Diceros bicornis minor: one gene and its partners. The protein of the gene in region 3 interacts with the protein of the main gene of each other region in a biochemical or structural test. Links are inferred from orthologs where the notes say so. Each region holds a gene or a part of one and is shown on either strand. Other genes may lie near its edges. The genes, in order: INCENP, GADD45A, AURKA and OTUD7B.

Region 1 (6,940 bases), on a different chromosome or scaffold from region 3:
TGGATGAGGGAGAAACTTCAGCCACCACAGGACCCCTCTCTGCCTGCCCAAACACAAGGTGCTCTTACTCTCCTGCGCGCTCTCCTCTTACTACCTGTGGGTGAGCAAGGACTAAGACACAGTTACCCTGAGCTACACACGAGCTGACCCCAGGCATCAGGCCAAAGAACATGGGAGCCAACTGCCTCTTCAAGAGCCCAGTGAAAGAAGGGGTTTTGCTTTCCAAAGGAGTCAGTAAGAAAAGTAGGGGCCCAGGGGCTGGCCCAGTGGCGTAGTGGTTAAGTTTGCGCACTCCACTTCAGCAGCCCGGGGTTCACAGGATCCGATCCTGGGCATGGACCTACACACTGCTCATCAAGCCATGCTGTGGTGGCGTCCCATATATAAAATAGAGGAGGATGGGCACAGATGTTAGCTCAGGGCCAGTCTCTCTCACCAAAAAAAAAAAAAAAGTAGGGGTCCAGAGGCATGCTCCTCTCCAAGGGGTTCCCTCACCCTCTCCCTTGAGCTGAAATGCCCTAGAAATGGATGAGGGAGCATGAGGGGAGCAGATAAGCAATGTCTTGTTTTTAAGAAAACTTGTCGAGAAATATCAGGCAGGGGAAAATACAAAACCAGTTTTCTCTTAATTTCTCAAAAAACTAGCAGCTCAGGTATCCTCCTCAAGACTTGGTTATAATATCATCACCAAAGCCCCAGGCAAGGAAGAAGTGTTACATTAGTCATGCAGGGTAAATATAAGTAAATATCCAACTGCTGGGTGAATGAATGAAAGAATAAATGAACGGGTGACGGTCATTAGTCGTAATGACAGACTGCGTGTCTCATGCCATGGCAGTGACCCACCACTCAGATCTTCAAAACCCAGAACCATGCAAAGGTCAGGCTTCCCACCTAAGATGGAAGCTCCTAGAAGGAGGGGCTAAGTCACTGACCCCTTGACAGCTTATAGAGCTTAACAGGTCATGCTGCAGCCTCATGGGATTTCCTGGGGCCTGATTTCCAGGGCACACTAGCCTTTGTTCCTTGAACAAACTCTGCCCTCTGTCTGGAACCTTCTGTCTCCTATTTTGTACAGCTCACTCCTCATCACACAGATCTCAGCAACTCAGGGAGGCCCTGACCATCAGTCATGATCCCATCCATCGATTTCAATTCTCTGCATGGCACTTGGGTGACTGTGTATCTGTTTACTTACGCCTGTCTCTGCTCACTAAACTTTTGCTCCCAGAGGGCAAGCCCTTGTCTGTCTGGTTCGTAGCTGAAAGCTCAGAGCCCAGCACAAAAGGAATACTTGCTCAATGAATTAATCCACTTAGAAATAAACACCCTGCAGGTACTCCCTCCTCCCCGCCCCAACACACACACTCAGAGACACCACATGAGCTCACTCTATACAGGTTAGGGCACACCATACTCATCCAAAGCCACTGCTCCTAGATGCCAAGGGCAGCACTAATCGGGGTGGGGCCAAACAGATGGCAGAGGCTTCGGGCACAGACAGCTCTGCAGCCAGCCAGTCATGGGCTCCGCCTCTCCGCTGCCATCCCTCTGCTCCCCCCGGCCCCTCTGCCCCAGTGCTAAGCCCTAGCAAAGTGCAGGATCCCCGTTCGAGGCCAGTTATGAGAAAATTGTTTAAGGAAGCCAAAACCAAAACAGAGGTTTGCAGAGGAGCTACAGAAAGCAACAACTTGCCATCTTATTTTTTAAAGTATTAGTTCCAAATAGCAAAGTGGGCGAGAGCTTCCTTCACAAAGTGCAAAAAAAGTGTTTGAGCTTCTTCCATGGCAAAGTTTGTTTTTAGCAGACGTCAGCTTGGCTATTTAAAAAAGGTCACTGTACATTAGAACAGAGGTGACTCTGAGAAAGGAGGAATCAGGGTACTAAGAATCAGGCTCCTGGAAGGAACAGCAAAAATCTCATCTTCAGCCCGTATAAGAACCTGTGCACAAATCCAGAGCACTTAACATCCCATCAAGGGAGAAGGGAGCTCATCCTTCTCTCCCAATACTTCCCTCACACCACACACCAGACTACAGGGCCCCCACCCCCCGCCCGCCTCTGCAATGCCTGTTCCTTTGAGGGTGCAGGAAGTTGGGCACCCAACCCCACCTCAGTGAAGGACCATCATAACAGCTGCTCCCATTTACGAAGTCCTACTCCGTGCCCAGGTCAGGCATTATCTCATTTAATTCTCCCCACAACCTGAAGGATACCCATGTGCAGATGAGGAAACTGAGGCAAAGAGAAGTTAAGTCAAAGTCAGGTCACCCGGTATGTCGGGGGTGAGGCCTGAATTTAAACTGTGCCCCTAACCACAGCGAAGCCGCCTACTCGATTTCAGCCTCCGAAAGGCAGGCGCCAAGTTTTGGCTCTGGGCACCCCGCAGAGAAGGCCACGGTGGCTGGATGAAACTGAACAGCCAAACTGACAGCGAAACGTGGTTGGGGAGTGCACTGGCATAGGGGCACATAGGAGCAGTATTGGCCTCCGGAAATGGTCCGTTTAAAATGCCGCTCAGCCGAGGGGGAGGTGTTGAGCGAAGGTTAACTGTACAGAAATGCCCTCTGGCATAATTCGGTCCACGACCCGGTCGGTGTGCGCTTCCTACGCATCCAGGTCAACAAAGGGCTTCCTAGGCACACAAGGAGCTGGGCACCAGAGAAGGGGAGGGGACCGAACTATTCTCTCAGAACCTGGTGACCTAGATGGAGGGTGGGGGTAATCTCCGGCCCCGGGACTAAGGCAGGTCACCTCGCCACTTGGAAGAGGTGACCCGTCCATTTCCAGGCCACAAGGGGCGGCGGGGGACGGGGGTCATGCCCCCGGTCCGGAGTTGGCGGGAGGGGTAACAAATCTCTAAGCATCTCCCACCACCGCCGGCTGCCCGCGCGCACTTACTCTACTGCCCTGCGTCTCCTAAGTGCTGCTCCGATCCAAGTCCAGCGGCCTCCCTAGCACAGGCCCCGGCCCGCCCAGACCCTCGGCTCCCGGCGTCCAGGGCTCAGGCTCGGGGGAAGCAATGGGCGGTGCAGCGCGGGCGAAAACCTACGATTTTCAAAACTGAAGCTTCGACCAATCCCCGGCAAGTTTGTCTGGGCGGATGCAAAACTCTAAGCCAATCAGGTAAAAGGAAGTGCCAGTCAGGCCACCTATTGGCTACCTGGGTTGGCAGTCTGCGGGACTAAGAGGCGGGGAAAGGAAGCGTTGAAACTTTAACCTGCTCAGCTTCCGGGAGCTGCTGTTCGGATCCCGCGACCGATACAGGAAGTCGCCGGAGGTGGGGGATGCGCGCGCAGACGCTCGCACGCCGCAACTACAAGCCCCAGCGTGCACTGCGAAGGCTCTGGTCGGGTTTGGGAAGCGTTTTGGGGGCCTTGGTGGGGTCGGAGGTCTTATAACCGCAAGTCGTGCTCGTCCCGGGAGACTTGCCCATTGCAATTTCTTCTTCCAGCTTTCTGTTGCATACAGGATAACATCTTTCCCACGTCTGCCATTTTTGAGAAGTAAAACGCTCTGTAGATCGCGCCGGAGTTTTTATTTACGTAGAGCCCTCTGTCATCTCTTGGACGACAGCAACCTGTGTCCCATCTATACTGGCCCTGAGTGTACCCTTTGCAGCGGTGGTTCTCATTCGGGTGCGATTTTGCCGCACCATTTGGCAATGTATGAATACGTTTTAGGTTTCTTTTGGGGGAGGGCGGGGTGTTACTGGCATCTGGGTAGAGGCTAGCCATGCTGCTCAACACCCTATAGGGCACAGGACAGCCCCCAGGGCAAAGAATTATCCAGCCCAGCATGCCAGTATGGCCACTGTTGAGAAACTCTGCTTTAGACAGTCACTTTCCACTGTGAGTCAGGGCTGCCATCACTTGTAGAATAAGGCAGTTAAATCTCCGAGAGAGATTTGTACACCCATGCTCATTGCAGCGTTATTCACAATAGCCAAGAGGTGGAAACAACCTAAATGTCCATCAGTATGTGAGTGGACAAAGAAAATGTGGCATATACATACAATCAAATATCATTCAGCCTTTTAAAAGAAAGAAATCATGTCATCTGCTACAATATGGATGAACCTTCAGGATATTATGCTAAGTGAAATAAGCCAGTCACAAAAAGAGAAATACTGCATGGTTCTGCTTACATGAGGTCTCTAATGCAGTCAAACTCTTAGAAACAGGAAGTAGAGTAGTGGTTGTCAGGGGCTGGGGAGAGGAGGGAAAAGGGGAGTTGTTCAGCAGATACAGAGTTTCAGTTTTGCAAGATGAAAAAGTTCTAGAGGGGCTGGCCCCATGGCCTAGTGGTTAAGTTTGGCAGGCTCCACTTCAGTGGCTTGGGTTCAGTTCCCAGACCTACATGGCTCAGCAGCAGCCGTGCTGTGGCGGTGACCCAGATACAAAATAGAGGAAGACTGGGACAGATGTTAGCTCATGGCAAATCTTCCTCAGCAAAAAAAAAAAAAATGTTCTAGAGATCCATTGCACAAGGATGTGCTTACAGGTAACATACTGTAATGTACTTAAAAATGGTTAAGATGGTAAATTTTATGTTACGTGTTATGTTTTAACCACAATTTAAAAGAAAAAAAAGTTAAGCTGGATCATCTTTGCAGTTCCTCCGTTTCTGCGGCATTGCTTTATTCTGAACCTTCTACCCCTTGTGATGAAATGTACTCAGTTCTGGTCTAGTTCCACTGTCTCCTTTCTCAGGAGAACAATAGCTACACCCCCACCCAGATTCTTTTTTGGCTCTCATGTCTCTCTTACTTGAAGGACATCTCTGAAGGAGATGTCCTGTACTGCCACAGTTTCAACCCCTAAATCACGTTAAAGCGAAGTTAGGGGTGTGAACAGGAAAGGAAAGTGCTGAACGCAGGAGAGAAGTCTTGCTGTACTCTGCCCAGCTCTAGGGCCTGTGTCTACCCTGGAACACTGACCTAGTGGAGTTAAACCTAAGAAGAAACAACCAGGATAGGAAGAGCTGAACCTTATCTCCAAGCTACCACTTCCTGAACGCGCACTCTATGACAGTCCTCCTTCTGAGCGCTTTTCCATGCCTTATCTCCTCACAGCAAGCTATAAAGTTTTATCTCTATTTTAACTGATGAAAAGAGAGGACAAGTAACCTGTCAAGATACCATAGCTAAAGAACTAGAATCAAACCTCACATCTCGGGGCCAGCCCAGTAGCATAGTGGTTAAGTTCATACACTGTGCTTTGGTGGCACAAGGTTCGCAGGTTCAGATCCCAGGCACAGACATACACACCACTCATCAAGCCATGCTATGGTGACGTCCCACATACAAAATGGAGGAAGATTGGCACAGATGTTAGCTCGGGGCCAATCTTCCTCACCAAAAAAAAAAAAAAAAACCTCACGTGTCTGGAAGAGCTTGCCTTCTCCTTACAAAGAATAATTTAAGAGATGTGAGAAAAGAGATTTATTTAACTGCCTTCAAATAACAGAAAGCCTATCCCACAAAAAAATGAATTAATTAGACTTTCTCCTGGGTTTTACCCGAATTGTCAGCCCATATCTCCAACTCTGCATGTGTATAACAACAACTTCCCCTGCAAAATCAGCTGCCCCTCTTAATTCAATTTCAATAACTTTTGCATGCCCACTGTGTCCCAGACACTGTGCTGAGAACACAGCAGTGAGCCTACCACAGGTGACCCTGCCCTCATGGAGTTTACAGTCCATGTTGGGATATTGGAGATGGATTTCTGACAGTGAAATGGAGCAGAAGAAGTCACAGGTAGAGATTAGCATAAAGAAGCCTGTGATGGAATGTTCTGGAAAGCAGTGAGCCCTCCAGTGCCAGGCCCTTTGTAGACAAAAGTGAGGTCCGAAATGTGGATTCCCTGTGAGATTAGAAAACCCTCCTAACATCTGCCCAAGAGGAGAAACTGGGAGCTCTAGGTCTGTAGAGCAAAGAGAGATAAAGTCCAGAGTCCTACCGTAGACTTCAAATAGTTTTGTTCTAGCATCCAATAAGAAAATCTTAAAGCCTACGTACACATTTTTTAAATTGCCCTTTAAATTCTTTCCCTCATTTAAATGGTCGCAAAGGATGTAATTTTCAGCGTGTTGTAAATCGTGACATTCTGAAATAAAACTCTTTCATCACTCTTTTAAATGTGTTCAATACACTCAAAATCCCATAGCAATTTTGTGTGTGTGTGTGAGGAAGATCAGCCCTGAGCTAACATTCATGCCAATCCTCCGCTTTTTGCTGAGGAAGACTGGCCCTGAGCTAACATCAATTGTCAATCCTCCTCCTTTTTTTTTTTTTTCTCTTTTTCTCCCCAAAGCCCCAGTAGATAGTTGTACATCATAGTTGCACATCCTTCTAGTTGCTGTATGTGGACGGTGGCCTCAGCATGGCCTGACAAGTGGCGCGTAGGTGCGCGACCGGGATCTGAACCGGGGCCGCTGGTAGCGGAGTGCGCGCACTTAACTGCTAAGCCACAGGGGCCCCCCATAGCAATTTAGTATCCATCATGATCCATTTTTTTGTATATCTTTTTTCCCCATTTTTATTGAGGTATAATTGAGAAATAAAAATTGTATATATTTAAGGTGTACGACATGATGTTTTGATATACTTACACATTGTGAAATAATCGTCACAACCAAGCTAATTAACATATGCATCACATAGTTAACCATTTTCTTTCTTCTTTTCTTTCTTTCTTTCTTTCTTTCTTTCTTTCTTTCTTTCTTTCTTTCTTTCTTTCTTTCTTTCTTTCTTTCTTTCTTTCTTTCTTTCTTTCTTTCTTTCTTTCTGATGAGGACACTTAAGATCTACCCTCTTAGCAAATTTCAAGTATATAATACGGTATTGCTAACTATATTACATGGCTGTACATTAGATCTCCAGAACTTATGCATCTTGCATGACTGAAACTGTACAACTTGACCAACATCTCCCCCT
Region 2 (7,208 bases), on a different chromosome or scaffold from region 3:
AAACAAAAGCACACATTAAGAAATGATGCAATTATTCCATACCATTTTATTGTAGGTATTGTGTTTCAAAAAATTTATAGCATAAATAACCTTTCATGTCATAAAATAACTTAGTGCAATTTATAATAAAACTTTGAGAATTTAACATCTCATCAAAATACAATAAAATATGGTTTTAAAATATGATTAACCCTTTCTGCTTTTCTTTTACTTGAGGGCATACAAACCAAAAATACCCAAACTACTGCTGCACATTTGAACTTGAACAAAGCGTATTTGGTTTATTTAACTGTAACTCAACCATCCTAAATTAATACATAGTTTGTTTTCCTTCCTGCGTGGTTGTCTCTTTTGTTCCTTGTGACTTGTATTGCTGTTTCAACACAGCTTCCTTCTCCATTTTCACCTCTTTCCATCTGCAAAGTCATCTACCTCCGGGCCCCCAGAACGTGTAGTTGAACTCGCTCAGCCCCTTGACATCAGTTCCTGTAATCCTTGCATCAGTGTGGGGAGTAACTGCTTGAGTAACTACAAAGGTATTTCAAAACTTCAGTGCAATTTGGTTCAGTTATTTTCATTCAGATGCCATCACCGCTCAGGGAGATTAATCACTGGGACCCACTGATCCATGTAGCGACTTTCCCGGCAAAAACAAATAAGTTGACTTAAGGCGGGATCCTTCCATTGGGATGAATGTGGATTCTGGGAACAAATTTCGAAAAATAAATTGACTATTAAAAAAAAATCAGCATTTGCTAATAATTACACTACTTTTGAGCAGAAGACACTTCAACATTCTATATTTTGCATGACATGAAGACCAGTTACAGCCATAAAAAATAACATTTCTTCCAGGTAGTCAGGTTTCCTGCAAAATCATTAAAGGTAATTCTCCCCTAACCTATACTCTACAAAGTCTGAAGCACGCAACCCACTGAGCCATCTACATATGTTTGCATGATACTATTTATTCAGTTTTGCATGAGGGTATCATTCACAGGTTCCTGCTAACAAACTTGTACTATGGCAGAGACCTGAGTAAAATGACTTTGAGAAACATTTCCCTGCCGTTCATACAATGAGACAGAGCTGCACAGCAGTCACCACCCAGTCACCACCTGTTATCCTCCCAAAAGGTGGAGTCATATTCTTCAGGAGTAGCAAAATAATTAGGCTGCCACTTAGCTAGACCAGCCAAAAAACAGTAAAATGTAAAAACAAAAGATGATGTAAAATCTCATTTACCTCTGAAAACACAAGTTATTTACCCACCCAAGGTTTTTAATTAGGAAAAAAGCTCCATTAAAAAAATGCAAGATTGCAAAGGAAAAATTTCCACTCTATCCTCTTAATGTATTTCTAGGGAATTAATAAGGTCTGTCTCCTACACCGTTTCTATTTTTAGCTTTGACTGGCAGAGAATGAAGCTGACTCCTTAATGAGGGTGAGCCAGGAATTTATGTGGCTTTATCTAATCCGCCCTGCTAAAGGAATTAGTCACGGGAGGTAGTGCAGATGTAGGTAGGGAGTAGTTGGGCTGACTCTGCTGACTCACAAGGATCTCTTCCGCGGCTGGCAGCCTCCAACGTGCTCAGACATGTTCCGTACGGGAGAAAATCCCGATGATGAAACTAGCACATCTCGGCTGAAAGTCCAGCCGCTCTCTTTAATGGGGCAAAGGCGGCCCCGCTCGTGACCCCCACCCCTGCCCGACCCGCAGTCAGGCGACTCTCGCCCCGGCCCACTTCCTCCCAGGCCTCGCACGCGGCGGCGCGCGCCCTGGCCCTCACCGTCACCAGCACGCAGTGCAGGTCCGGGGGCTGCGCGGCGCCCTCGCCGGCCGCGGGCCCCGCGTCGGGCTCCAGGAGCAGGAGCTCGGCCAGCCGGCCCGGGTTGCTGACGCGCAGAATGTTGATGTCGTTCTCGCAGCAGAAGGCCTGGATCAGGGTGAAGTGGATCTGCAGGGCCACGTCCCTGTCGTCGTCCTCGTCCGCCGCCAGCAGGCACAGCACCACGTTATCCGGGTCGCTGCGGGCAGGGGCGGTGCGGGTGAGCGCCGAGGCGCGACCCCCGCGCGCGCCCGCACCGCCCGGGTCCCGGGGGTCGCGCCCGGCCCGCTCGCTCGCCGGGGCAGGCAGCCGCCGCGCGGATGGACAGCGGCGTGCAGGCGAGGGGCGCCCCGCGAGGGCGCCTCCCGGGCTGGGGCGCGCAGGGGGCCACGGGGGACACGCGAGGGCCCCACTTACACGTTGAGCAGCTTGGCCGCCTCGTACACCCCGACCGTGATGGTGCGCTGACTCAGGGCTTTGCTGAGCACTTCCTCGAGGGCATCCCCCACCTTATCCATCCTACACGCCGGCAAGAGCAAGGGGTCCCGTCAGCCCGGGTGCCCTCGGGCCGTCGCCGCCCCTCGACCCGCACCGCGACCTTCCCCCCGAGCGCGTGCCCCCGCGCACCTCAGCTTTCTGCAAACCCGGGCGCCCCGGTCCGGCACCCCCACGACCCCTCGCACGCCCAGAGGCCGGGGTCCGGGGAGAAGCCCCGAGAGTGTCACCCGCCACCCTCCCCGAGGGCACTGCCAGTCCCGGGCTGGGCGCAGGCACAGGCTGCCCGCCGCAGCAGCTGCACCGCAGGGACGGTCGCTTGTGCCCTCTGCAAAGCCCCGAGGGGTCGGCCGGGTTGGGGGGCACGCTCCTTCCGTCCGCGGGCGCCCCTGGGAGGGTCCCCGAGTGAGAAAGGCGGGAGGGAGGTGCGCTCCGCAAACTTTTCACCGCTCGCCCCACGCAAACCTCCCGGAGCCCGGCGGCACTCCCCCGAGGCCCCCCGAGGTCCCCCCGGGGCCAGTCGGCCCACTCACCTTTCGGTCTTCTGCTCGCCAGCCGCGAATTCCTCCAGAGTCATATTGCAACTGCAGGTTCCCCCCAGAGAGAGCGCGGCGTGCGGGCTGCTCCTGCCACCGAGCGCGCGCGGGCGCCGGCTGTCTGCACTCCGGCCCCGGCCGCTCCAGCGCCCCGCCGCCGCGCCGTCAGCCCTCCCGCCCGCCCCCGGCCACTCGCCCCGCCGCGAGCCGCGACTGCCACCCGGCTGCTGCCTCACAGCCACTGGAGGACAAAGGCGCCGCTCGCCGGAGTTATCCTGCCAACCCCCGGCCAACCAACGCCCGCCTCATTTGCATACGCGCAGACATTGGGCTATGCAAATCAGCATGTTCCGACAATTTGACCCGAGCTCCCGGACCGCGGCTGAGAGGAGCGGAAGGGGGAGGAGCCACGCGGAAGGCGAGCCAGGGGCGGGGGCGGGGCGGGGGCGGGGTCCCGAGCGGACTCTTATTCCGTGGGCGGGGCCCAAAGGAGAGGCGGTCTTTGCACGGGGGGAGGGAAAGCGGGTTGTCTTCAGCTTGGGCTGGAACAGGCTGCCAAGTGTTTTTCTCAGTTGGTGCACATTTTTTTTATTGTCGTTTCATGTCTTTTGTTTTTAGGGGTTGCTATTAAAATCTGTTTTCGGGGTTAATGCACCCAAGTCCAGTAATTATTAGTAAGCAGTTTACATAAAAAGAGTGTGTCCAGACCTCCGGAGCAAAGTTACCTCAGAAGTGTTGTTTGTGTAAGTCCAGGCAAAGCTGCTTATTAGTAGTAGTATTATTTCGGTGCCCTGATGGCTGGTTTGATTTATTTTTGGAAGGTTGCAAGGGTTGGAAGCTCAAAAAAGAAAAATCAACACATTTGTCTTGGGTGGTGGCAGGGAACCAAGTTGGAATCCTTTCCGCAGAAAGCAGAAGGGCTTCCCACCTGCCCAGGGTAACTCGGGGAAACCATGTTCACCGGGAGCTGGTTACCACACGTGTGTATCCTGGCCTTCAACCCAAGCTCACCTTTCTCAGAGAGCCTTCCCCAAAGGAGGATCCTTCTGAACCGGCACCAGCTAAGAGACAAATGTCTGACACCCACATAAGCCACGAGTCTAAATTCAGAATGCTCTCAATATGCCCTAAGCTTCCTTTCATGAGGCAAGTATGTCACTGCCCTCCCCAGAGAGCCTGTGATCTCACAGTGAATTATTGATGGCCAGTGCTGAATCATGAAGCAGCAGCCATAGGACCTTTTAGTCATATGCTAAAATTTCACCTTTGAGATAATGGCGACCTGTGGGTGGAAAGCAAGCAGTAGTTACACATTTTTGAAAAGCAAACTTTAATGTGTAGACTTTCGCCGAATACGTTGCAAGTTCTTCCCTTTGTTTTATGAGTTTATACAATAAGTGCAAAAACATGTCTTAAACCTACTCAAGTCACCAGAAGAGGTGAAAATTCCCCCCATATGCTTCCATTCAAAACAACGCTTGCATTATTAAGGTCACTGTATAGTTAAAGGTCACAGAAGTCATTTTTTGCAAAGGTACATGGGAGTTTTTGCACCCGTATGTTTGTATCATTCTAGACAAAATATTCTCCAGCTCTCTTGATCTTAATTTAGTGGAAAAGAAAAGTGAGAGTTCAGTTTTCTGGCTCATTTACTTGAGCTGCCTTTTTGCACTTAATCCCTAACTGCCTTGTCAGCAAGGGACAATGTTTTGGAATGGTGGTGGCCAATGCATAATTTACCCAAGGGTGCTTGTGTATTTCATTTCTATACCTTAAATCGTAATGTGTAGTGTCTTTGTTAAAGAATTCCTTAAAATTGAAATTCAGGTGGGTTCTGAAGTTTTTCGAACAAACCCTGAATTATACACTCTGGCCTGAGTCATCATTTGGAGACTATTGAACCGTGTTCCATGGAACTCCAAGGTTCTATCCACTAGGCGTTTCTTAGAGGTTCTTTGGAAGAAAGTGTGATCACAGCAAACTGAAAAAGAATTAGGGATGCATGTGAGTTTCTTGACAGCAGGGACTGTGACTTCATCACCGTGGTGTTCTTGGCACCCAGCCCAACTTCTGCATTTAGGAGAAGTACAGTCAATGTTTATTGAGTTGAACAAGATCTCAGAATCCTGCAGTCCTGTGCATTGCATGAATTCTCTCTAAGATATTCCACATTTATCTTTAGTTCGAAAAAACTTCTTTGATCTACTATGTACCAAGAACTGTACAATTCCTGGTCCTTTGCCTTTAAAGAGCTTACCATTTAATTGGTATGTCCATGCTTGGACTGGATTTTGGGACAAAATAGCATGCACTGTCATCAGCTAGCTATGCTGGAAGTCCCATGACTTTAGTCATCTGAACGGAAACTGTAGGACAGTAGAACCCGTGTATTGTTTATGCCAATTCAAATGAACCACAGCCCTAATAATACCTCACCCAAGACAATGCTGTGCAGTAAAAATGTGGTATAAAAGAGCTATTTCTTAATACAGGCCTAGACCCTCACTCAGAAGCTACCCTGCGTGCTGTCTGTGGCTTCATGGGAAAGTGGTTTGTTCCAGTGTTGTCGGTTGCTCTCTGAGATAAGCCTAGCCTTCCAGTATTCAAAAATATTCATTTGTCATATTTTCTGACTCAGATATGTTACATCATTTTGCCTCATTGCTGAGTCTACCTAGAATGTTTCATCAGTGATGATCTTCGAAGCTGGTCCTCATGGCTGCAAGTAGAAGCTGCATTTAGCTCCAGTTAGATTGCAGTTATATATTAGGATGGTCATAGATGATATATTTCATAAATGCTCCTCAGGCCAGTGGGAAGTTGGTATCCAATGATAAACCAGAGGAATTTCCCTAGATTAGTATAGAACACACACACATATATGTATTTTTAAAAATAACTCCAATATGTGAAATCATTTTTTTTTTAATTTTTTCCCCCCAAAGCCCCAGTAGATAGTTGTGCGTCATAGTTGCACATCCTTCTAGTTGCTGTATGTGGGACACAGCCTCAGCATTGCCGGAGAAGCGGTGTGTCTGTTCGCGCCTGGGATCTGAACCCGGGCCTCCAGCAGCGGAGCGCACACACTTAACCGCTAAGCCACGGGGGTGGCCCTGTGAAATCATTTTTAAAACCACCCCAGGTGGCTCCAAGTAGTTCAGCTGCACAGGACTAGAATGACCTTGTAGTAATATTTGTAAGGATGCCAAATGGTTATATTTGGAAATCAGATGGAAATATGTCCTCAAAAATTGTTGAATTATTTTAGCCATCTACTTACTTTGCATATTAAGAGTCTTTTTGATATTTTCTTCGCTTTTAGTATGCATATGTTCCTACTACTTGTTCTATAGTATAGAATGATAACTTTTCTTTTTTTCAAAAATTAGTCAATCCTTTAACATCTGAAAGAAATATGATGCTTATTATTTTGGTATTAGATCATTGTTCACATTAAAGGAGATCAATTAGACTATAACAGATGTATCTACTACCTAGAACTCTGTATTCTATTTTATTGTTAAAAATTATAAGGTTCCTTATGTATTTTTTGCATAAGTCTGGTGAAGTTAGTTTCTAAAGGCAGGCTCTGAATTTCCCTCATTTCTTCCCCAGAGAAGACCATTCAGACAAGATTTACTGTCACCTAAAAATTTGTCATTTCTTAGGATCAATACTTGCATTTGAATTTAACATAAATGTTTAGTTTCTTGGACCATCACTGTGGTAGGCAAATTGTAAGATGGGCTCAATGATCTCTAACCTCTGATGTTAAGCTCTGTATAACCCTCTTCCCTCGAGTGTGGGCGGAACCCATCCCTTGTTTCTAACGAGTAGAATATGGCAATGATGTTGGGCTATCACACCCACAATTATATTACATTCTATGGCAAAGGTGAAAGGATTTTGCAGATGTAATTACGGTCCCTAATCAGTTGAGTTTGAGTTAAACAAAAGGGAGATTATGCTAGGTGGGCCTGATCTAATCAGGTGAGCCCTTTAGAAGAGGGCCTAGGCCTTCTCTGAAGAGATATTGGAAGCATCAGAGACTCTCTTTCTTCATTGCTGGCTTTGAAGAAGTGAACTTCCATATTCTACAGCTGCAAGGAAATGAATTTTGCCAACAACCTGAGGGAGCTTAGAAATAGATCTTTTCCTAGTCAAGCCTTTAGATGAGAATGTAGCCTGGGAAACACTGATTTTAGCCTTCTGAGCCCCTGACAAGAGAACCTAGCTAAGCCATGCCTGGACTTCTGACCTGCAGAAACTGTGAGATAATAAATGAGTGTTAATTTAAACCACTGTTTGTGGTAATTTGTTTCATAGCATCAAAACCTAGTACAATCCT
Region 3 (6,932 bases):
TCTGCCCTAACCTCTCCTCTGACTGCTAGACTCCGTTATCTAATTACCTGCTCAGGGTCCCCCGGAAAGGTCCACCAGACATCTCAATCCTAACACATTGAAAGGGAACCTCTTCTCTCCACACTTCATTTCCCCTCTGCTCACAGGAGCACCCTGAGCTCAGGGCCAAAGCACTCTTCTTTTCCAGCTACACTCACTCCCTAGGTGAGCTCATCCAGTCTCCTGGTTTTCAATACCATCCACAGGCTGAGGACCTCCAAATTTCCATCTCCAGCTCACACCTCACCCTTAACTCCTACCACCTACACAACATCTCCACCTGGTACTCTGAGAGGCGTCTCAACTTTAACCTGTCCCAACCTGAAGTCCTGCTCCCTCCCACCCACCTCCCCAAACCTGTTCTCACAGAAGTCCCCACCTCAGCTGATGGCAAATCCGTCTTGCCAGCTGCTCAGGTCAAGTCTTGATATAATGTTTTACACGGTTCCCCCTCAAACCCCATATGTAATCTATCAGCATATCTTGTATGCTCTACCTTCAAAAATCACTACTCATGACCTTTACTGCTACCACCTGCTCACACCACAATTCTCTCCCCTCAATTATTTGCAACAGGCTCCCAATGGTCACTCTGCTTCCACTGTTGCCCCATTATGGACCATTCGCAACAGTGTGCCCAGTGATCCCATTAACAGGTCAGATATGTTGGTCCTCATAGTTCCCCAATCCAAATTCAAAATCCTACTTGCACAGACAGGCCTACAAAGTCTCAAAGAATGTGGAACGTGACCACCTTTCTGACCTCATCTCCTCTTATCTGTTGCATACCAGCCATACAGGGCTCCTTTCTTTCCTCAAAGAAGTCCCTGCCACAGGGCCTTTGCACTTCCTGTTCCCGCTATTAGGCTCTTCCCCTAATAGAAGTGTGGCTTACTCCTTCATTTCATTCATGTCTCTGCTCAGACATCCCCTTTCAGACCATCTCTCCTTTATTTTTCATCATACTCCTTAATATCTTACATAACATCACTTGCACTTGTTTACTGTCTCTCTCCCCAGACTCAGACATCCAGCTACCTGCTCAGTATCTCCAAAGCAAGCAAGCTCCACGAGCACAAGGGCTTAGTCCCATTTTGTTCACTGCTGCCTCCCCAGAACATGCCTGGCACGTAGTATGTACACCAATGTTCTGAGAATGAATTAATCCATTAACAAAGCAAATCAATAATAAAAATAGTTTATAACACTTAGTAAGCCCATACGGTGATTCAGGTACAACCACCTATCAAGTAAGTAGAACATAAACTCCAAGAAAGCAGAAACTTCTGTATTTTTCTTACCCAAGTGCTCTCCGAATTCTAGAATCCAATCAGAAAGTGCTCCCCACCCCTACACTTTCACATTCATTTTATAAATAAGCAAATAACTCCACCTTGAAGATGGGACCACAGCTAAAGAGCTGGGAGTCCTTACTTTAAGCAGTGGGTTAGTAGAAATAGACAAAAAGGAAAAAAGGAAACATATGCTTGTGTTATGAAAATGTTCATTTCACATACACTCTAATGCTTTCTTCACTTTCCCTAACAATTACAAGCAGCTCTACTGAAGTCACATAGCCCTAAGGACATTTATTCAACAGTCTTTGACAGAAGCTACAGATAATTTGCTCCAATTTAATATGTTTCCTTCTCAGGGAGATGAATGATGATAAGCAGAAGGGAATAAGATTCTGACCCAGAAATTCTGGCGAGAGCCCCAGGGAGACTGCTTCTCAGATGATTCTGGCCTACAGCCAGGTTCAGGAGCCACATGGCCAGACGACCTTCACAAGATCCCTACCGCTCAAGCCAGAGATCCTACTATTCTAAACAGGAAAATTGTTAGATTTAATAGCACCGTGGGGTTAGACTTTTCCTTCCTTGTCAAACCTACTAATGTCTGCGTATATGAAGGACAGTGGACAGGAAATAAGTATGTTGCTGAAAAGTGTTTAATTCAAAGAACAAGGAAGGTTGAGGAGGGGACATTAAAAGTCAAGGGCAGTAGCTACACCTACAACAGGGGGGCGTTTGTTAGAAATGGAGACTCTCAGGCCCACCCCCAGACCTAACAACTCAGACCCTGCATTCTAACATCCAGTTGACTAGTATGTGCTGGTCTGGGTCTCTAGTTCTCAATGACACATCAGAACCACCTGAGAGCTTGATAAAAAGACAGACACCTGAGTCCTATGCCCGAGCGCTTCCGATTCATTAGGTGGGTCTATATTTTTGACAAGGACTCCCAGGCCATGCCGACGTATAGGTGGTCCAAGGTCTACGGTTTGAGAAGCGCTGGCCCAGGAGGCCTCTTCCAGGTTATTCATTCACCCACTCATCCAGCCAGCCAGGAAAAGGGGACCTTCCTAGCTGTTCTGTCCCAAGTAGCCCCCGGTAAACCACACGACTGTTTTCTTTCGTAAGGCTCACCACTCTCGGATGTTATCTTGCTAGTTCGCAGTCTGTCTCCCCACCCCCACTCAACTGCAAGACAGCAAAAACCTGTGTTTCTTCTTACCCGATGCTCACTGAATACAAGAACCCCATCTGAAAGCACACCCTCCCCCCACCCCCCAACCACCCCAACCACTCCAGAACACATCAAGCAGCATCTTCAGGGCGCCTCAGTACCCAGAAGCAGATGCGAGGGCGCTGGGAAAGCACAGGTAGGGGACGGGGAGGATGAGGGGGATGGGGGAGGATGAGGGGGATGGGGGAGGATGGGGGCACAGGGACCCTGGGGACGGAGGGCGACGGGGGGGGGGCGCTTCTCGCCCCGACCATTCCCTCGCGGACCCCGCGGACCCACTGGCTGCATCCCTCCCACCCAGGCCGGCCACCCGGACCCTCCCGGGCCCGCCCGCCTTGCAGAGCTGCCCCAGGGTCTACCCACCCGTCAGCTCCTGCCTCCGACCTAAGGCCGCCGAGTCCTCCCGAGAACTCAGCCGTTAGAATTCAAAGTCTTCATTTTAAACAGGAGTTAAACCCTCTAATCCGAAAGCTGATTGGCCTGGGCTAGAGAGGCGCTGCCTTTTGATTGGTTCAGAGCCAACTCGACGCTTGAGTCACGTCCAGGGCAGAGACGGCGCGCAGGCGCACTTGCCCCGTAAGGCCCCGGAAGTGGTGGAGCCAACGGCCCGCCAGACCCCTGGCCGTGCTACCGCCCTTGGTGCTCTCCGGAATCCGACATTTGTCTGTGCGACAGCAGCCCCTTGGCGTCAAGGTTGTCGCGTAGAAGATAAATTCAGAGGAGGTGAACAAACCTCTCGAACGCGCTAGTAGGTAAGATGGCGAGAAGAGCAGGGGAGAGTGGTGCCGATCGATAGCGCAGCGTTCGGCGCGTCTTCCTGCGCGCGTGCGCAGTGAACGTGCGCTCGGAGTGATCGATCGGGCAGGAGTCGCGCATCCATTTTTCTGGAGAGAGCGAGAGACCAGGAGAGCTGGATTAGCGGGTACAGGGGGCCCGGGATACGTGGCGGGGGTGGCTGGTGCGGCTGGTGCGGTGGGCTGGGCTTTCAGGAAGGCTAGGGGCGAGGCGGGAAAGGTCGATAGCGAGCGGGGCGGCGTGTGCCGAGTCGCCGGGCTGGGCTTGCACCCGCCTCGTTTTCCTCAAAGGCCTGGTCCCTTCCCTCCCTCCCTCCTTAGTTCGCCCCTGCGCCGGGATGGTAGCGGAGCGGGCGGTGAGGGGGCGCCTGCGCTCTCGCCCTGGTCCCCCTTCCAACTCCTCTAACAGTCCTGGGTCGGGCTCTTCCTGTCCCCGGGCCTCAGAGGTCTCACCTGCAAGTTGGCGCTGGTAACTAGGCTCTAACCAGCCCAGCGAGCGAACGTTCTAGGGGAGTTGAGAAGCGGGGCGTGTCCTCTCTTTTCTTCATCTCTTTGTATACCCCCGTGATGCTCCTGGCGTGAATGAAGAGACAGGCTGGAATAGTGGTTAAGCTCTGGGCTCTGGTGTGGGCAGTCCTGGCGGCCACTTGAACCTTTGGCGACTTAGCCACATTTTACTTTTCACTGGGATTCCTAACCCCTTTGAGCCGGTTTCATAATCTCCATTGTGTCCTCGTATTGTCTACGCAAGCATAGATTTATATACGTTTGCTTTTACATGTACTTAAATACATTTAATGATTTCATTCGGTGAGCTAATGCTTATAAAGTGCTTTGCACGGTGTCTGGCAACTGCTTAATAAATGTTAGCTATTATTAACACCCACCAGTACAGCCCGGTAAGAAGGGCGGCTCTGGGGTCAAGTAGCCTGGATTAGGATTCAGGCTCTGCCGTTTATAAGCTGTTTCATCCTGAGTTGAGTTAACCTCTCTGGACCTCAGGTTGTCTGTCTCTAAAATAGGATTAGATGAGGATTGAATGAGGTAATGCATATTAGCTGCTTACACGGTATATGTTATATACTGTACGGAATGTCTAATAAATTTTAGCTAGTTTTAAGTTTTTGAGGAGCACTGCAGGTAGTGGTTAGGAACGAGACAGTCTTTAGAGTCAAACCTCCTGTGTTCTAGTCCTGGTTCCTCCAGGCGCTAGTTGTGAGACCATGGGCAAGTTATTTCCCCTCCTCATCTGTTAACAAGATTACAGGACCTCCTTTATAAGATGGTGTTGCCGGTTAGGTGAGATAAAACATGATAAACGCTCAGTGAATGTTAGCTGTTCTTAGGATCAGCAGCCTCAGTAATTCTCCAGAGGGAGTTGTGTACTTAGAAAACGTGGTTCCCCACCCCTTTCCTCTAACACCCTCACCTCCCCCGCTTTCAGAATCGCCCCTGTAAAGTACAGCAGTACCAGGAGGTACTGATGTTGGTGTTCACTCCCTCCTCTTCTTTCTCATATTCATCTCTCTCCTGTACTCTGCCTTTCAGTTTTCTTCTCTGCCACAACTTTTATTCTTTATTGCTGTCCCTAGGCTCCTGCAGTCTTCTGATCTGTCCGTATGTACACATACATAAAGACATTAATTTTTGATAATCAGATTTTCTATCCATGTCCACCAATTGCAGTTTTGTTTTGTTTTTTTTTGGCATAAACCAGAAACCATCATCTACAGTTTTCTGTTTCACTTTCTAAGACTGAGGGAGAACTTAGACACTTGTAAATCGATCTAAGAGCACAATCCTTCAGATTTTTGCATTTTTTTCCATTTTTTAAAGCTATCTTGGCCATATCCTACTTGCCAGTATTTTATTAAACAGTTCACTTTTGAATCTTTGAAAGCATTCAGCTTCATTGTTTTCATAGCATAATAGCTGTTTTGTGCTCATGTGAAGCTCGGTTACTTTAAAACATGTTTTAAGAATGAACATAACTGGTATTAGTAAACATAGAGCTCAGCTGGTGTAAACAATACTGTCCAGACATCGACAATAGCAGCTGTCTTACCTATTGCAAACACCAGTCACTGTTTTATTAACAGAAGAAATGGAAGATTCTCGGATAGCAATAAAGAATAAAAATTGCAAGTGAGTAGTTCGGCATAGAAGAAAAGTTGATGAAGAGACATTCTGCTGTAAATATCAGCAAACATGATTTGAATAATTTCTTTCTGCCACTATGCTCAATGCAGCGTCTTGTTTAACCTTCACTAACTTATTTAACAGATGAGGAACTTGATCTTAGAGAAACGAAGTCACTGACCAAAGATGTTGCAGCTGGTAGAGCTGGGATTTAAGCCTACAAGTGGGACCAGATTCCTGTGTTGCTTCTGTGGTTTGCTAGTGCCTCTGCCCTTCACCGGCCACCTGTTTTCTCTTCTTGCAGCTGGCAGGCAAATTGTCTTCCTGTTCCTCAAGATGTACAGAACCAAAGTGGGCTTGAAGGACCGCCAGCAGCTCTACAAGCTGATCATTAGCCAGCTGCTCTATGACGGCTACATCAGCATTGCCAATGGCCTCATCAATGAAATCAAGCCTCAGTCTGTCTGTGCGCCCTCAGAGCAGCTCCTGCATCTCATCAAACTAGGTAGCTTGTGAATGCAAATTCCTTGACCCCATGACAAGGTTTCAGATGTTTTCACACGTCAGAATTTTTCGAAATTATTTCTTTAGTTTTAGCCTTTAGTATGTATCAAGTACAGTGCTAGATATTGAAGGAGTAAGCAAAGTACAGATTATAAAGATTTCGAGCTGGTTCTAGCCTCAGGATCTTTATACGAATTATCTGAAGCATTCTGTCATTGTATTGACTTTCTTCAAGTTTCAGCTCAAATGTCATCTCAGAGTCCTCTTCACTTCTAAAATAACCCGACTATCTTCCACATAACTCTCCAGTTACTCTAAGACAATAATCCCATTTTCTTCATAACAGAATCAGTGTCTGAAATTTTCTTTATTGTTTTGGGTTGTTTTCCACACAGTCCACACCTCCCCAAAAAAAGACTGCAGGCTCAATAAAGATCAGGACCTTGTCTTGTTCAGAAGTATATCCTGGTGCTTACCTGGGTCACAGAAAGCACTCAGTAAAGTATAAAAGTACCGAAGATGTTTATACCCTTTGACTTGGCAATGCTAGTTGTGAGAATTTGTCCTGAGGATATAAAATGAATATAACTGAAATGCCTAACAATGGGGAATTAGTTATGAATGTTCTTATATCCATAAAATTAGATCCAACAACATGATGTAGATGAACATTTATTATGCTGGCCAGATGTTTATTGTGTATGATTAAGTGAAAAAGTAAGTCACAACATGTTATGTAGTGTAATTCTATTTTTCTATTTCTGTTAAGTGAAACAACTGTATGCATGGAGAAAAGTCTAGAAGAATTCATACCGCCATGTTAACAGTAATAATCTCTGGGTGATATAGAATGAGGACATTTTAATTTTTTCTTCTCTATTTTTAATTTTTGTTATACTAATAAACATTGTTTATATATGAAGTTAT
Region 4 (6,890 bases), on a different chromosome or scaffold from region 3:
AGAGTGTGGTATGTACTGCCAAAGCAATGGTTCCCAACTGCCAATTCATTCATTCATTCACTCAGTAGATATTTAATGAATGATTGCTATGCGTCAGGCACTATGCTAGGCCTTATAGCTAAAATGGTGAATTTATCTTATGGAGCTTCACAATCTAATGGATGAAGAAAATATCAATAAAATAATCTACAAGAAAATGTAAATTTATAACTTTATGAAGGAACCCAGGATATTCATTTTCTATTTTTTTAATTGAGGTAAAATTCACACAGTGAAATGAACAGATCTTAAGTAGACAATTTGATATATATGCATAACAGCTACCCTATCAAGATATATGTATATACATTTCCATCACCCCAGAAAGTTCCCTATTGCCCCCTTTCTATTCAATCCCCACCTCTCCCCAGTAGGCAACCATGATTCTGATTTCTATCGTCAAGATTACTTTTGCCTGTTCTTGAATTTCATATAAATGGCTTCTTTTGCTCAATAAATGATTTTGAGATTTATCTATGTTGTTGTGTTTAAATGGAGTTCATTTTTAAAAATTGTATTCCACTGTTTGATCAATGTGTTTATCCATTTTTTTGTTGGTAGACATTTGAGATGTTTCCAGTTTGGACTATTATGAATAAAGCTGTTATGAACATTCATGTCTAAGCTTTTTGTAGGCATACATTTTCATTTCTATTAGGTAAATACCTAGGAGTGGAATTCCTGGGTCATAGGGCAGGAAAGTGTTTAACTTTATAAGAACTGTGGATATTTTAAAAATATATGGATTCATGGTCCAAGAATTCCCAGTTAGTCAGTCTGAGGTTCCTAGGCACATACATACAGGATGTAGTTTTTAAAACTCCACAGAACCACTAGTCTAAATTATAGTGGTGGTGGTAGAAAGGAAGTTATTTTGGTTTGGTTTTCTTTTACACCACAAAAGCATATGAATGCAAACAATTGCTGTTTTTTTCCTTCCTGGTTAGCTGCAAAATAGCTTTCTCTGAACATTCCTCCCTACTCTATCCATTAGCCCTAGTGTTGAAATAGTCTCTCCTTGTAGTTTCTCTGGTGAAATGCAAAGCTCTGTTTTTTTCTGCTCTTGCTTAAAGTGAAATGAAAGCTCAGAGAGCTCCTTGGAGCAGCCCTTAGAATTGCTAAAATGAGTAAACAAGAACAGGCCTTTAGGGCGGAAGAGAACTTTGTACTCAATGGCAGATGAGAGTGTGTGGCCCTAGGTACACTGGTAGGGTTTTCTGTGCTGCTTTTACTTTCTTTTCTTTCTATTCTTCTACCTGGCAGCAAAACATAATCAGCTGTGTTCTGGCTGCCCACAAGGACATTAGCCAGCTGTTTCTGAGCATTTAACATAGTGACAGCCCGAATGGCTGCACATCACTACAGAAGACGTCCCCAGTTTCTAGGCAAAGAAACGGACACATAGGAATAGGAAGGGAGTCACTTAATGGATTAGGGGCTGGCTGAGCTGGGACCAGAACCCAGGTGGCCTGGCTCCCAGCCCAGCTGACCACACTGCTACCCACACAGCCTGGGCTGACCCCAAACAAGCAGGCCATTGAGCAGTTGCACAAACAACAATGAATGATGGATGGTCAGAGCAAGAAACAGGCACAAAACAACTGCAACCCTATCACTTCCTGGCCCCTAAATTTCCAGGCAAGCCTGTAAACTGTAGTCACTTAAATGAGTTTGACCAGCAACTTGGCCCAGCTTTCAAATGTGGAAACTTTCTGTGGTCACTGCCAAAAGTAAAAGTCTTCCTTGTACTGAGGGTGGAAAGTGCCTTTGAACTCCATACCTGGTCCTAATAAGTCTGTGGTACTGGAGTTAAGACTAGAAAGACATAGTTAACAGATGGGCATAACCTGGTCCTGCGAGGGCCTTGGTGAAACAAGACAAATTTAGATTTTTGAGGCTCTTCATCTGTGGACCTGTCCTCCTACCCCAGATTTAGCTTGCACGGAGTGGGTGTGATCAGTGGAGTTCAGTTAGAATCAACATAGGAGACCAAGTCTCATCATAGGTGAGCAACGGGTGGCTGTGATCAGTGCAGTTCAGTTAGAATCAACATCAGGCGACCATGTCCTCCTCAGATTTGCTGCTGAACAGGACCCAAAATTCGTAGTCCCCACATGCTTGAAGCCCAGGCCAACTGGCTCTGCCTGCCAACCTGTATTGTTGGTCCTGGGCATGCCTCATGCAAGGCACTCTAACCTGCTCGGCCTTGGTGTGGCCCTAGGCCCAGCCCTAAATCTTCACCTCTAAACCTAAGGTATCTCAAAGAGATATAGCTGTCTAGGAAGTGTCCTGTTTCAGGTGTTGATTTTCCAGTCTTGAGCTGGCTAATTCTAAAATTCTATGCTCCACCCCTTCGGTTTAGAAACTGAGGATTTTAGAAAGTAGTGAGGAGATAGAAAAATCGGCTGTAATATTTGTTTTTTAAATAGGCCTAATGAGCACAACTGAAACAATAAACATTTTGAATACGCAGACCAGGTGCCAACATGTTAGGAATCTGAATTAAAATTTAGAATTTCTTTTTTTTTTTTTAAATTTTAGGGAGTTTATTTTATTTTTTTTGTGTGTGTGTGTGAAGAAGACCAGCCCTGAGCTAACATCCGAAGCCAATCCTCCTCTTTTTTGCTGAGGAAGACTGGCCCTGGGCTAACATCCGTGCCCATCTTCCTCTACTTTATGTGAGACACCGCCACATCACGGCCTGACAAGCGGTGCGTGAGTGCACGCCTGGGGTCCAAACCAGGTTCGCCGCAACAGAGCGCGGGCACTTAGCCGCTTGCGCCACCAGGCTGGCCCCAAAATTTAGGATTTCTTTGATCCCCAGGGGCTGGCCCCATTTTGTGTTTGTCATAAAGAGTATTTATTAAATGGCTCTTCTTACTTGAAACAGTCCACATTCTCCTAATATTTATTTATTCATTCAACAAATATAGAAGGTCTGCTCTGTGCCAGGCAAGGCTTATGTTCTCATAGCCATAGCTCATTGCAACTCACATACCACATACGCGACTTTTGCCTTATGTATGTATCATATGTATCATATACATACATATGATACATACATGTATATATGTATCATATACATACATACATATGTATGTGTATTTTACTAAAGTATAGGAACCTTGATGTTTGGAATTATGTCTTGTTCATTTTTGTGTCCCCAATATCAATGAGCACAGTGCCTTTCACATAGTAGGGACTAAATAAATATTTATTGAATTATGCTGTAAAGCTGTTAAAAGGCACTACCAAAAAAGCACTACATAACTTTTTTCGATTGTGCTAACAGTCTTAAGGCAGATATGTCAATAGGGTATCATCATAATGCAAATAAATATCGAGTGTTTATAGAGAAGGGTATGTTCACTTCATGAGTGAAGGAAGGAGAGCGCATAACTGGGTGGAGACTGTTAATTTTCCTCTGGTCGGTCCAGAATAATTGCCTACAGTAACTAGAATTTCAGTCGTCTCATTCTAAGTATTTTCATCCCTCTCACCTTTCGAGAACTACCCCGCCTCTTTCTGCTTCTTCCCAAAGGGCTGTAGCCAACTGACTCTATCTCAAAGTCTCAAGAGTCCACCCTGTACCCCTCCACCTTCGGTTCAAGAACTCTCCAGACCAGGGGCTTTAGGAACCCGGACCAGGAACACACGGGGTCACGCGCGGGGCAGGCGTCAAACTGGCCGCAGCTAGGGGAGCGGCGCTAAAGGCGGGGCTGCTACGGGCGGGGAGGGGCGGGGCGGGAGGAGGCCCGGGGGCGGCTTGGGTGTCACCACCAACCCGCTCCGGCCGGAAACTGGCGCTTGTTTCCGGCCGGACAGCCGAAAGCCACCGATCCTGAACCAGCAGCCGGAGTCAGAGTGGCGGCCGGGTGTGGAGCAGGCAAAAAGCCACTGGGGGAGGCCAGTCTCGATCAGTCCCATCTGGCTCCGACTCCTGATCCTGTGCGGACCAACAGCCGCGGTCGCAGTCTCCGCCACCGCCTCCGCCTCCATCGTCGTCGGGGGAGGGGCCGGCCGGACCCCGGGGTCACAGCCGAGGAATGAGGAGAGGCGGCCGGGCCCCGCGCTCCGCCCCGGCCTAGGGCCTTGCCCCGGGAGCCGCGAGGGTAACGGAGCCCCCCGCCCTGTCACCCTCCCCCGTCTGCTCCCGCCCCTCCCGCCTCTTCAGACTCCCGAACTCTGACCCTCAGATCTCCACTGTCCCCTTCTCCTTTCTGATGGTATTTCACCCGGAGCCGTCGTCTCCCGGGACCCCCTTCTCGCCCTCTTCTCGCTTCATCTCAGCCTTCCCCGGTTACTCCTCCCCTTCACCTGCGCCCCGCGGCCCTGGCCCCCGTTCCCGGCCTCCCTTCGCGAGCTGTGCTGGGCAGTTTGGACGGTCCTCTCGTCAGCTAGACTTTCGGGGAGGGATGGTGGAGTTTTAAGGTGTTTAGGAGTACAGGCTACTATCCCCATAGTAGGATAAAATTCATTTTGAAGTCTCAATATAAAAGTAAAGTGAAAACAAGCTTGTTCTCCCCCATTGATAGCTACACTGAGGTGCGTCCAGTAATGGAGGAAGGGAGCGAAAAGAAGTGTGTGTGTGTGTGTGTGTGTGTGTGTGTGTGTGTGTGTGGGCAGGCTTATGAACTTTAGAAAAAAGAAAAGTTGCCATGAGCCGATGGAAACTTTAGAAGCTGATGATGAGTAAGCCGGGGGCTGCGTGATCTCACTCCTCTTCTCATAATTACTAGGTTAACGGTGTGGCTCCGGTCGGGATGGAATGGGATTTGTTTACTGGCCCGCGTATTTTTAGCTTGTCGGCTCGCAAGGACCAGCGCTCTGCGAGTCAGTCTTTCTCTCTCTCTCTCTCTCTCCCTCTCTCTCTCTCCCTCCCTCCCTCCTTCTCACTCTCTGTCTCTCTCCCCCACCCTCTCTGTCCGTCTCTGTCTAGGTGGCTCCTCCGGGCACAATACAGATATAAAAATTAAGTTGAAAGAAGCTGACTAGTGAAATTTTCTGTAAGAGATTCTCCGCAAACTCTTCGGGGAGTTTTCTTTTCATGAATGTGAATGGAAGAATTAGCAGGACTTTGACTTGTAGTTTCCTCATCTTTTATAAGTATGTGTATAAAATGCTGTTTAGAAAATCAGAAGCTGGTGATTTTTCAGTCTTAGGCTTCTCTTACTGTCTATTTAGATCTTTGAGAAGACTGGATCCCTTTGTCTTTCAGAACCTATTTCTAAAGTGGGAAAGGACAAAGTGGTGAGAGGAGGTAGTGGTGAGGCTAGTCCAAGAGGGCAGCTAATCCTAAATCTTTTAAAAACGTTTTCTATGCTGTATAACTTTAAAAAGCAGTTAGAAAATTTCCTTCTTAGTAAATGAGATTGCATTCCTGATGGGATGGAAAAGACTGCAGGGACTTAGGCTGAGTGGCTAGGGAGAATCAGACTTGTAATTAAACATTTGCTTTGCATAATTTACAAATGAATACATTATAGGCAAACACTTATACTCTTTGTCCTCATTGTTTTTCTGAGCAGTTCTTTTAAAGTTTAGTAACCAACCTGCTGAGCTAGTCTATTGATATTTTGAAGGCTGAACAGAACTGTAAAATAAATGAAATTGATGTTGCTCATCTGGAAGCTGAATACCAGTCTGTTCTAATTTCCACTAGCTACCTGGCGTGCCTCCGGGCACCTCCCTGAATAAGTGGCCAGTTACTATGTACTTAGAGATTGCAAATGAATACAAATATTAGCTCATGCTAGGAATAATTGAGAGGGTAAATATGCTGAAAAGATATTCCAAAACTGAAATAGATTATTTTTCAATTTTTTCCATTTTGGTTTATCAGCACCTTTCTGCTGATAATTATCCATTAACATGAATAATTTAGAATTGAACAGATATTGGACATTGCACATTCAAGCAGAAAGAGGATGGAAGGAAGGTAGTTCCCAAACTATTACTAATTTTTTTGCTGTTGTTGCCTCGTTTGACTTATCCTTTTCGTTTAATGCCAGGCTCCCTTGTGAAAAAAAAAAAAAAGTAAACCTTTACCAAAGAAAAGGCTGTCTGCTGACTTGTATAAGGCAGGCTGACCAGTAATGAATGCTAATTGTTAGCTGGACTTTTGGTGGAGATATGTCACCAACAACTTGGAAATTTTCCTGAAGCTTTATTTCCTTAATCTCTTTCTTTTGGGATGCCTCTTGAAAAAAAAAATTTAATTTGGAGGGTAAAATCTAATTTTTAAAAATCACACATACCCTCCCAGAGTGTGTTGACTATCAATAATTGTTTTAATTTGTGAGTTGGTTGGTGCCAGTATTAGTGATGATATCTAGTAAATTCTAGTTATTTCTGTATTTATATCTGTATTCAACTTCCCCTGGTTGAACTACATATATTATTTTGGGGGTGGGGCTTGAAGGAATTGAGTAAACCCCAAGACAAGTGTAGGGCAGCCCAATAGCCCACCATTATTCCCAGTTCTCTGAAGGCTTTGTTTGGAATTTTGAGATTCAATGTACGTAACCAAGTGAATTATGATGGAATAACTCAATATTAAAAATAAGTTTTCAGATTGTTATGGGGGCACTGAGTGCCGCTGGTTAAAGTTTTAGAGCTCCTGAATGTCTCAAGCATGCTGAGGATGCTGACAGAAGACACTGTAAGGGGGCACCTCTCTTCTTACCCCAGACATTCATCCCATCAAGGAAAAAATCTTGAAACAATACTTTTAAGTGTGACTTTGGCAGCATTTTTCCTATAGGAACTTAGGACTTGTGGAATGGCAGACTGTGGAATCTTCTCAACAGCCCCTGATAGATTCAGATAATTAAAATCTGTGTGACTAGAAT

The links.
Region 1: the proteins of AURKA (region 3) and INCENP form a complex in vitro, tested with the Homo sapiens proteins (3 studies listed by BioGRID and IntAct, with this or other methods). The link is inferred for Diceros bicornis minor from reciprocal best matches to the Homo sapiens genes AURKA and INCENP.
Region 2: the proteins of AURKA (region 3) and GADD45A form a complex in vitro, tested with the Homo sapiens proteins (2 studies listed by BioGRID). The link is inferred for Diceros bicornis minor from reciprocal best matches to the Homo sapiens genes AURKA and GADD45A.
Region 4: of the proteins of AURKA (region 3) and OTUD7B, one has a biochemical effect on the other in vitro, tested with the Homo sapiens proteins (2 studies listed by BioGRID, with this or other methods). The link is inferred for Diceros bicornis minor from reciprocal best matches to the Homo sapiens genes AURKA and OTUD7B.

Annotation. Positions count from the first base shown.
Region 1 is NC_080770.1:11,224,097-11,231,036, forward strand, and holds the start of INCENP (inner centromere protein), read right to left. Parts: upstream 3,017-6,940; 5' UTR 2,902-3,016; intron 1-2,901. UniProt on the Homo sapiens protein: Component of the chromosomal passenger complex (CPC), a complex that acts as a key regulator of mitosis.
Region 2 is NC_080743.1:6,451,704-6,458,911, reverse strand, and holds GADD45A (growth arrest and DNA damage-inducible protein GADD45 alpha), read right to left. Parts: upstream 3,025-7,208; 5' UTR 2,902-3,024; coding exon 2,858-2,901; intron 2,349-2,857; coding exon 2,247-2,348; intron 2,029-2,246; coding exon 1,791-2,028; intron 703-1,790; coding exon 589-702; 3' UTR 22-588; downstream 1-21. UniProt on the Homo sapiens protein: In T-cells, functions as a regulator of p38 MAPKs by inhibiting p88 phosphorylation and activity.
Region 3 is NC_080758.1:6,940,496-6,947,427, reverse strand, and holds the start of AURKA (aurora kinase A), read right to left. Parts: upstream 3,015-6,932; 5' UTR 2,932-3,014; intron 1-2,931. Other genes in the region: CSTF1 (cleavage stimulation factor subunit 1), read left to right, coding at 5,838-6,006. UniProt on the Homo sapiens protein: Mitotic serine/threonine kinase that contributes to the regulation of cell cycle progression.
Region 4 is NC_080743.1:54,538,880-54,545,769, reverse strand, and holds the start of OTUD7B (OTU domain-containing protein 7B), read left to right. Parts: upstream 1-3,867; 5' UTR 3,868-4,151; intron 4,152-6,890. UniProt on the Homo sapiens protein: Negative regulator of the non-canonical NF-kappa-B pathway that acts by mediating deubiquitination of TRAF3, an inhibitor of the NF-kappa-B pathway, thereby acting as a negative regulator of B-cell responses.